2 linked regions of the Danio rerio genome follow. The protein of the gene in region 1 binds, or shares a complex with, the protein of each later gene. Links are inferred from orthologs where the notes say so. Each region holds a gene or a part of one and is shown in the gene's direction. Other genes may lie near its edges.

What was found.
Region 2: supt16h (region 1) and ssrp1b share a complex: the UniProt entries of both Homo sapiens proteins name them as parts of the FACT complex. The link is inferred for Danio rerio from reciprocal best matches to the Homo sapiens genes SUPT16H and SSRP1.

Annotation. Positions count from the first base shown.
Region 1 is NC_133182.1:2,079,826-2,083,325, forward strand, and holds part of supt16h (FACT complex subunit SPT16), read left to right. Parts: intron 1-1,711; coding exon 1,712-1,841; intron 1,842-3,377; coding exon 3,378-3,500. UniProt on the Homo sapiens protein: Component of the FACT complex, a general chromatin factor that acts to reorganize nucleosomes. The FACT complex is involved in multiple processes that require DNA as a template such as mRNA elongation, DNA replication and DNA repair.
Region 2 is NC_133176.1:47,969,222-47,973,520, forward strand, and holds the start of ssrp1b (FACT complex subunit SSRP1), read left to right. Parts: upstream 1-1,499; 5' UTR 1,500-1,561; intron 1,562-1,946; exon of another isoform or gene 1,947-1,962; 5' UTR 1,963-1,983; coding exon 1,984-2,037; intron 2,038-2,123; coding exon 2,124-2,309; intron 2,310-2,406; coding exon 2,407-2,512; intron 2,513-4,299. Other genes in the region: pold4 (DNA polymerase delta subunit 4), read right to left, coding at 68-157, 299-400, 1,323-1,347. UniProt on the Homo sapiens protein: Component of the FACT complex, a general chromatin factor that acts to reorganize nucleosomes. The FACT complex is involved in multiple processes that require DNA as a template such as mRNA elongation, DNA replication and DNA repair.

The DNA of each region.
Region 1 (3,500 bases):
GACAGTTTAGACAATTTGTCTGTTTGGTTGTGTGGTTTAGACTAAATTTGTCTGTTTGGTTGTGGTATTTGGTGTGTAATGTGATGGTTTAGTCTAAATTTGTCTGTTTGGTTGTGGTATTTGGTGTCTAATGTGACAGTTTAGACAATTTGTCTGTTTGGTCATGGTATTTGGTGTGTAATGTGATGGTTTAGTCTAAATTTGTCTGTTTGGTCGTGGTATTTGGTGTGTAATGTGATGGTTTAGTCTAAATTTGTTTGTTTGGTCGTGGTATTTGGTGTCTAATATGATGGTTTAGTCTAAATTTGTCTGTTTGGTCGTGGTATTTAGTGTGTAATGTGATGGTTTAGTCTAAATTTGTCTGTTTGGTCGTGGTATTTAGTGTGTAATGTGATGGTTTAGTCTAAATTTGTTTGTTTGGTCGTGGTATTTGGTGTCTAATATGATGGTTTAGTCTAAATTTGTCTGTTTGGTCGTGGTATTTGGTGTCTAATATGATGGTTTAGTCTAAATTTGTCTGTTTGGTTGTGGTATTTGGTGTCTAATGTGACAGTTTAGACTAAATTTGTCTGTTTGGTTGTGGTATTTGGTGTCTAATGTGATGGTTTAGTCTAAATTTGTCTGTCTGATCGTGGTATTTGTTGTCGAATGTGACAGTTTAGACAATTTGTCTGTTTGGTCATGGTATTTGGTGTGTAATGTGATGGTTTAGTCTAAATTTGTCTGTTTGGTCGTGGTATTTAGTGTGTAATGTGATGGTTTAGTCTAAATTTGTTTGTTTGGTCGTGGTATTTGGTGTCTAATATGATGGTTTAGTCTAAATTTGTCTGTTTGGTCATGGTATTTGGTGTCTAATGTGACAGTTTAGACAATTTGTCTGTTTGGTTGTGTGGTTTAGACTAAATTTGTCTGTTTGGTTGTGGTATTTGGTGTCTAATGTGACAGTTTAGACAATTTGTCTGTTTGGTCATGGTATTTGGTGTGTAATGTGACGGTTTTGTCTAAATATGTCTGTTTGGTCATGGTATTTGGTGTGTAATGTGATGGTTTAGTCTAAATTTATCTGTTTGGTCGTGGTATTTGGTGTCTAATATGATGGTTTAGTCTAAATTTGTCTTTTTGGTTGTGGTATTTGGTGTGTAATGTGATGGTTTAGTCTAAATTTGTCTGTCTGATCGTGGTATTTGGTGTCTAATGTGATGGTTTAGTCTAAATTTGTCTGTCTGATCGTGGTATTTGGTGTCTAATGTGATGGTTTAGTCTAAATTTGTCTGTCTGATCGTGGTATTTGGTGTCTAATGTGATGGTTTAGTCTAAATTTGTCTGTCTGATCGTGGTATTTGTTGTCGAATGTGACAGTTTAGACTATATTTGTCTGTTTGGTTGTGGTATTTGTTGTCGAATGTGACAGTTTAGTCTAAATTTGTCTGTTTGGTTGTGGTATTTGGTGTCTAATGTGATGGTTTAGTCTAAATTTGTCTGTCTGATCGTGGTATTTGGTGTCTAATGTGACAGTTTAGACTAAATTTGTCTGTCTGATCGTGGTATTTGGTGTCTAATGTGATGATTAGTCTGTATTTAATGTCTGATGTGATGTTTAGTCTAAATTGGTCTATTTGGTCGTGGTATTAGTGTCTAGTATGATGGTTTAATATTAATGTCTTTATATATGGTCGTGTTTGACTGGACGTCTTCTGTTTTGTGTTCGCAGCTCGTGTGATATCAAATACACTGAAGGCATTCAGTCTCTGAACTGGACCAAGATCATGAAGACCATAGTGGATGATCCGGAGGGCTTTTTCGAGCAGGGCGGCTGGTCTTTCCTGGACCCTGAGAGTGAGGTGAGGAGTCTGAACATTTGAAACAAGGTCACTTTGTGGAGCTTTTCTTGCGTTAGGCCAGTGGTCACCAAACTTGTTCCTGGAGGGCCGGTGTCCTGCAGATTTTTGCTCCAACCCTAATCAAACACACCTGAACAAGCTAATTAAGGTCTTACTTGGTATACTTAAAACATCCAGGCAGGTGTGTTGAGGCAAGTTGGAGCTAAACCCTGCAGGGACACCGGCCCTCCAGGACCAGGATTGGTGACCCCTGTGTTAGGCTGTCTGAAATTGACTACTACATTTAAATAAGAATTTACTACACAAGAAACGTATGTGCTTTATCAGATCTGGGCATTTTATGGCCTGCATGACGCTTTGATTGGACCACGTTAACTCATTAGTTCATTTAAATTCACAAACTGGGATGCACAGGTCTGATATAGCAATAAGTAAATGAAAGGGACCACTCACATATCACGTCCTTTGTCATTATTTTAAATTGTCATGTCTTGTCATTTTTATCCACTTATCCGGGCCGGCAGTAGTCTTGGGAGAGAACCCCAAACTTTCCTCTCCCTGGACACTTGCTATAGCTCCTCCGGGGAAATCCCGAGGTGTTCCCAGGCCAGCCGAGAGACATAGTCCCTCCAGTGTGTCCTGGGTTTTCACCGAGGCCTCCTCCCGGTGGGACATGGCTGGAATACCTCCCTGGGTAGGCGTCCAGGAGGCATCCGAAGCAGATGCCCGAGCCAACTCAGCTGACTTCTCTCAATGTGGAGGAGCAGCGGCTCTACTCTGAGCTCCTCCTGGGTGCAGAGCTCCTCACCCTGTCTATGAGGGTGCACCCTGCTACCCTGTGAAGAAAGCTCATTTCTGCCGCTTGTATTCGAGATCTTGTCCTTTCGGTCATGACCCAAAGCTCATGACTATAGGTGAGAGTATGAAATGTAGATTGACCGTTAAATCGAGAGCTTTGCCTTTAGGCTCAGCTCCTTCTTTACCACAACAGACCGGTTATCGTCCGCATTACTGCTGCTGCACCGATCCGCCTGTCAATCTCACACTCCATCCTTCCCTCACTTGTAAACAAAACCCCAAGATACTTGAACTGCCCCACCTGGGGTAAGGACTTTCCTCTAATCTGGAGATGGCATGGCACCTTTTTCTGGTGGAGCACCGGATGATCCTCATCTTAGCTGTGTCACACTCGGCAGCAAACCGCCCTAGTGCATGCTGAAGGTCCATGTTCAGGAAGCCAACAGAACGACATCGTCTGCGAATAACGATGAAAATCCTGTGGTCCCCGAACCAAACCCCCTCCAGCTCAACCAAGTTTGAAATTCTGTCCAAATAAATGATGAACAGAATGGATGACAGAGGGTAGCCCTGCCAGGGTCCAACATGCACTGGAGACCAGTCTGACTTGATAAATTGCATTTATTTATAAAGTAATAATAATATGAGCATCTGTTAGCAGATTCACGTGTGTTTCACATTAATAATTCATCTGATTCAAGTTTCATCCTTTTCTGATATTGTTAACGTGTGTTTCAGGGCAGCGGAGGGGAGGAAGACTCCGAGTCTGAGATCGAGGATGAAACTTTCAACCCTTCAGCTGATGAGGAGGAGGAGGAAGAGGAGGACAGCGATGAGGATTATTCCTCAGAGACTGAGGAC
Region 2 (4,299 bases), on another chromosome or scaffold:
GCGCTACCCACTGCGCAACCATGCTGCCGTTATTATAATCAATGTAAAATCAAAAACAGACGTTTACCTGTGCATGGTCCAAACTTCCAATCCAGATCAAAGTTCTTCAGCTCCTGTATATCTTTTTCTCTTTCACTCAGTTGTGGGGGTTCAGGCTCTGAGCAGTAATAACAGGTTATAAATGCATTACATGGTTGCATGTGCCTCTAAAGCATTTGCACACTTTAGGACCATAGTGATATGGAATGATTTCTGCTTAAAGATGCATGTTAACACACAGAACAAAATACTATCTGACCTGCTTTCGGTGGTGAAGGAGACTTGCTTCTCTTGCCTCCTCTCCTTGCCTTCTTCACAACCTTAAAGGTGTCGGTGATGAGGCCACGCTTTGGTGTCATATCTGAAATAAAGCAAACAATGAGCAATACATATGCTACAGTATGTATGTAACTTCAATCAATGAACTATCGATAAATGGTAATGCATTAAAATGAATATATACTTTGAAAGTGTTTTCAGTTATACAATAATTAAAGAGATAGTTCACACAGAATGAAAATTCCTAAACTTTTGTTCTGTTGCACACAAAAGAAGATATTCTGAAGAATGTTGGAAAAATTATCAAAAACAAGTCATAGGCTGTTTTTTATTTCAACATTCTTCAGATTATCTTGTTTTTGTTTAACAGAAGAACGAATCTCAAACAAGTTTGGAACAAGTGAAGGATGAGTAAATGATGACAGAATTTTCTTTTTTTGGGGTGAACTATCCCCTTTAAGAGTCTTTGTTCCAGTGTTTTTACACACACACACACACACACACACAAAAAAAAAACTATATTTAACTTATTATAATAGTATATGTTTAAGAAAAGGGGTTGGTATCAGTTTATCATGCGTAATTATAAATAATTCACTGTTATTACTTTAGTAAGTACAAGGCACATGTAAACAACAGTTTCAGTATTTTCATTGTTAGTACATGTTAACTAACGTGTTAGCTTCCTAGTTTAAACGTGATGTAGCATAATAAGATATATCAACAAGTTAAATCGAGGTAAATACATAATGTTGTAACGTCAATAATGTTGTAAATACTCTGGCTGTGAGAGCACAAAGAGCAGGACATGCAAATACTATCTTACTAGATGCTTTCGGTCTAAAACATAAAATAAGCAATGCATTCTGTGTAGCATTTCATTTTAATTTCTAAATAAATTGCATTAAAATCACCAGTAAAGGCGATCTTTATTTATTGATCCATCGAACAACAGTGCTTGAAACACTACTGTCAAAAAAGTATATCTGAAATATATTGCATACCTGGACGCTGATAGGATATCGTCATATGATAAATTATTTGTAAATGTTGACAGCAGCAGTCTTCATCAATAAAGCCTTTTAACTTTCCCTTTGTGTTTCGATCGTTTACAAAACAGACTGACGTTCGATAGGCAGGGCTGAGCCACGCACACTGCGCGATTGCGTCATGACGAAGGCGTTCCTGCGCGCCGCACATCTACGCTCACGGGACTCGGCCTTGATCCTCTCGCCGAATAACAGTAATACTCATTCAAATTTCTCGCATATTTCATAACATATGCAACAAAAGCGTTCGAAATGTACTAAGCCTGCTGTAAATTTGCTGTAAATTTGCAAACGTGTCGTTCGTCACAAAAGCCGCTGTTTGATGCCTGAACGCCAGCTTTGCTAGCTTTATTTGTTTATTATTAGACATCATCTCGCTGTGCAGCCACAAAATAATAACACTCGCAAAAGCTTTTCTTAAAGCACAAAGCTAGATTTTTACATCCAAAACAACCTATAATAAAAGTCTACTGTTGACACCAGAGTAAACTGGGAGTTTTCTATCATTCATAACACATTCATATTGCCATTTGCAGTGGAAATTGTATAATGTATAATGTATATTAATAACTGTCGCAGCTTTTAAACGTCACAGGTCCATTCTGTCTACTCTGACATGAGTGACACTTTGGAGTTCAATGAAATTTATCAGGAGGTCAAGGGCTCATGGGTGAGTTAAAAAAGGTTTTGTTCTCTAACTTGAGGTGTTTTTCTATCAAACTCTCAATAAAGTTGACCGACTGTCTTTTCTTGTAGAATGACGGCCGCCTGCGCTTCAGTAAGCAGACAGTGGTGTATAAAAACAGTAAGACCGGGAAGGTGGACACTATTCCGGTCCCTGAACTCACTCAGGCCCAGTGGAGGAGAGTCTGTCTGGGTCACGGCATCAAACTATGGACCAGCACTGGCCACATCTACAAATATGATGGCTTTAAAGACGCAGTGAGTCTGAGATGCAAATTACAGATCAATTGATCACTCAGTTTGATCCGCTGTTTCATTCCAGGTCTTAAATTTTCATCCGTTTCTTTTTGCGCAGGACCTTGAGAAGATCTCAGAATACTTCAAAGACAACTACAAAGTGGAGCTAACAGAGAAAGACATGTGTGTTAAGGGCTGGAATTGGGGCACTGCTAAATTTAATGGTCAGTGCATTCCTGTTGCAACGCTTTTTGTCTGAGATATTCAGTTAAAGTCAGAATTATTAGCCATTCTGAATTATTAGCCCCCCTGTTTATTTTTTCCCCCAATTTCTGTTTAACAGAGAGATTTTCTCAACACATTTCTAAACATAATAGTTTTAATAACTCATTTCTAATAACTGATTTATTTTATCTTTACCATGATGCCAGTAAATAATATTTAACTAGATATTTGTAAGACACTTCTATACAGCTTAAAGTGACATTTAAAGGCTTAACTAGGTCAATTAGGTTAACTAGGCAGGTTAGGGTAATTAGGCAAGTTATTGTATAGTGATGGTTTGTTCTGTAGACCATCGGACACAAATAGCTTAAAGGGGCTAATAACTTTGTCTTTGAAGTGTTTTTAAAAAATGTAAAACTGCTTTTCTTCTAGCCAAAATACAACAAATAAGATTTTCTCCAGAAGAAAACATTATCAGACATACTGTGAAAATTTCATTGCTCTGTTTTAACAAACAGGTTTGTTACTAGAATGGTCAGGCAGGCAACAGTCAACAGGGTAAAACAGATACATACAGAGAATCCAGAGTCGTGGTCATAGAACAGGCGAATGGTCGGAACAAGCAGCAAAGAATCAAAACAAAGAGACAAAGGGTTAAAACACAGCTAGGCTAAACAGGGAGAAAACACGTCGTAATGCTCACAGATAAACAAGACTCAAAAAAGTGTGTGTGTGTGTGTGTGTGTGTGTGTGTAATCAACAGAGAACTGGAACAGGTGTGTGTGAGGTGCATGACAGGATTCGTTGGTCTAGATCGCTGGTGATTGTGACAGTAGTGACCTTAAACACTGTTTTTTAGTATGTTTGTCTTCCAAAAGTATGGAGCAAATAATATGGAAAAACAATCTGAATTTAAATTGTGCAAATTTGAATCACAATAGCAATTGTAATTTAATAAAATTTAATATTAAATGCTATTAAACTGTTTGAATTTGAATTTCTTAACTTGAATATTGAACATCTGAAATTTAAGACAACTGAATTTTTTCAGATTTCTATTGACGTATTTTCAAACTTCAGATTTTTTCGTTCTAAATTTATAGATTGCAGATATTGAGCTTGTGAAAATACAGTTTTGAGTTTTCAAGATGAAGAAATTCAGAGCATCGAATTCAATATTTTAAATTTTAAAACCAGAAAATCAGATTGTGAAATTCAGATTTAGCAAAAAGTAGGTCAGGGGTCATCAACAGTGAAGAAAATTCAGATTGTTTTGGCATATTATTCGCTCCATATCAAAGAACCTTTCGATGAACATATCTTTAAAGCTTTTTAATAATCAAAAGCAAAATAACACTATAAAAATAGGTTTCTTGTATGTTATGTATGGTGATGTGAATCGGTAATTGTAATTAAAATGTTTGATTTTTTTAACTAATTATAAAAATGTAATAAATACAAAAATACATATTATTAAACATGATGTAGCTAATTCAAGGTAAATACATAATGTTGTAGTGTAAATGTTGTAAATACTCAGGCTGTTGGAGCACTAAGAGCAGGACATACAAGATGTCTTACAAGATGTTCTCGCCTCGCCTTTTCGCCAGCTGACTTTATTGTAAGACAAAATAAGCAATGCATTCTGTGTAGCATTTTACTTTCAATTGTAATTACAATTTGCTTTAGATTTTTTTCAATTAATTATAAAAATGTAATAAGTCCATAAAATATATATTATTGTGATACTATTGCACAGTATATAACAGTAATATTATTTTTATAA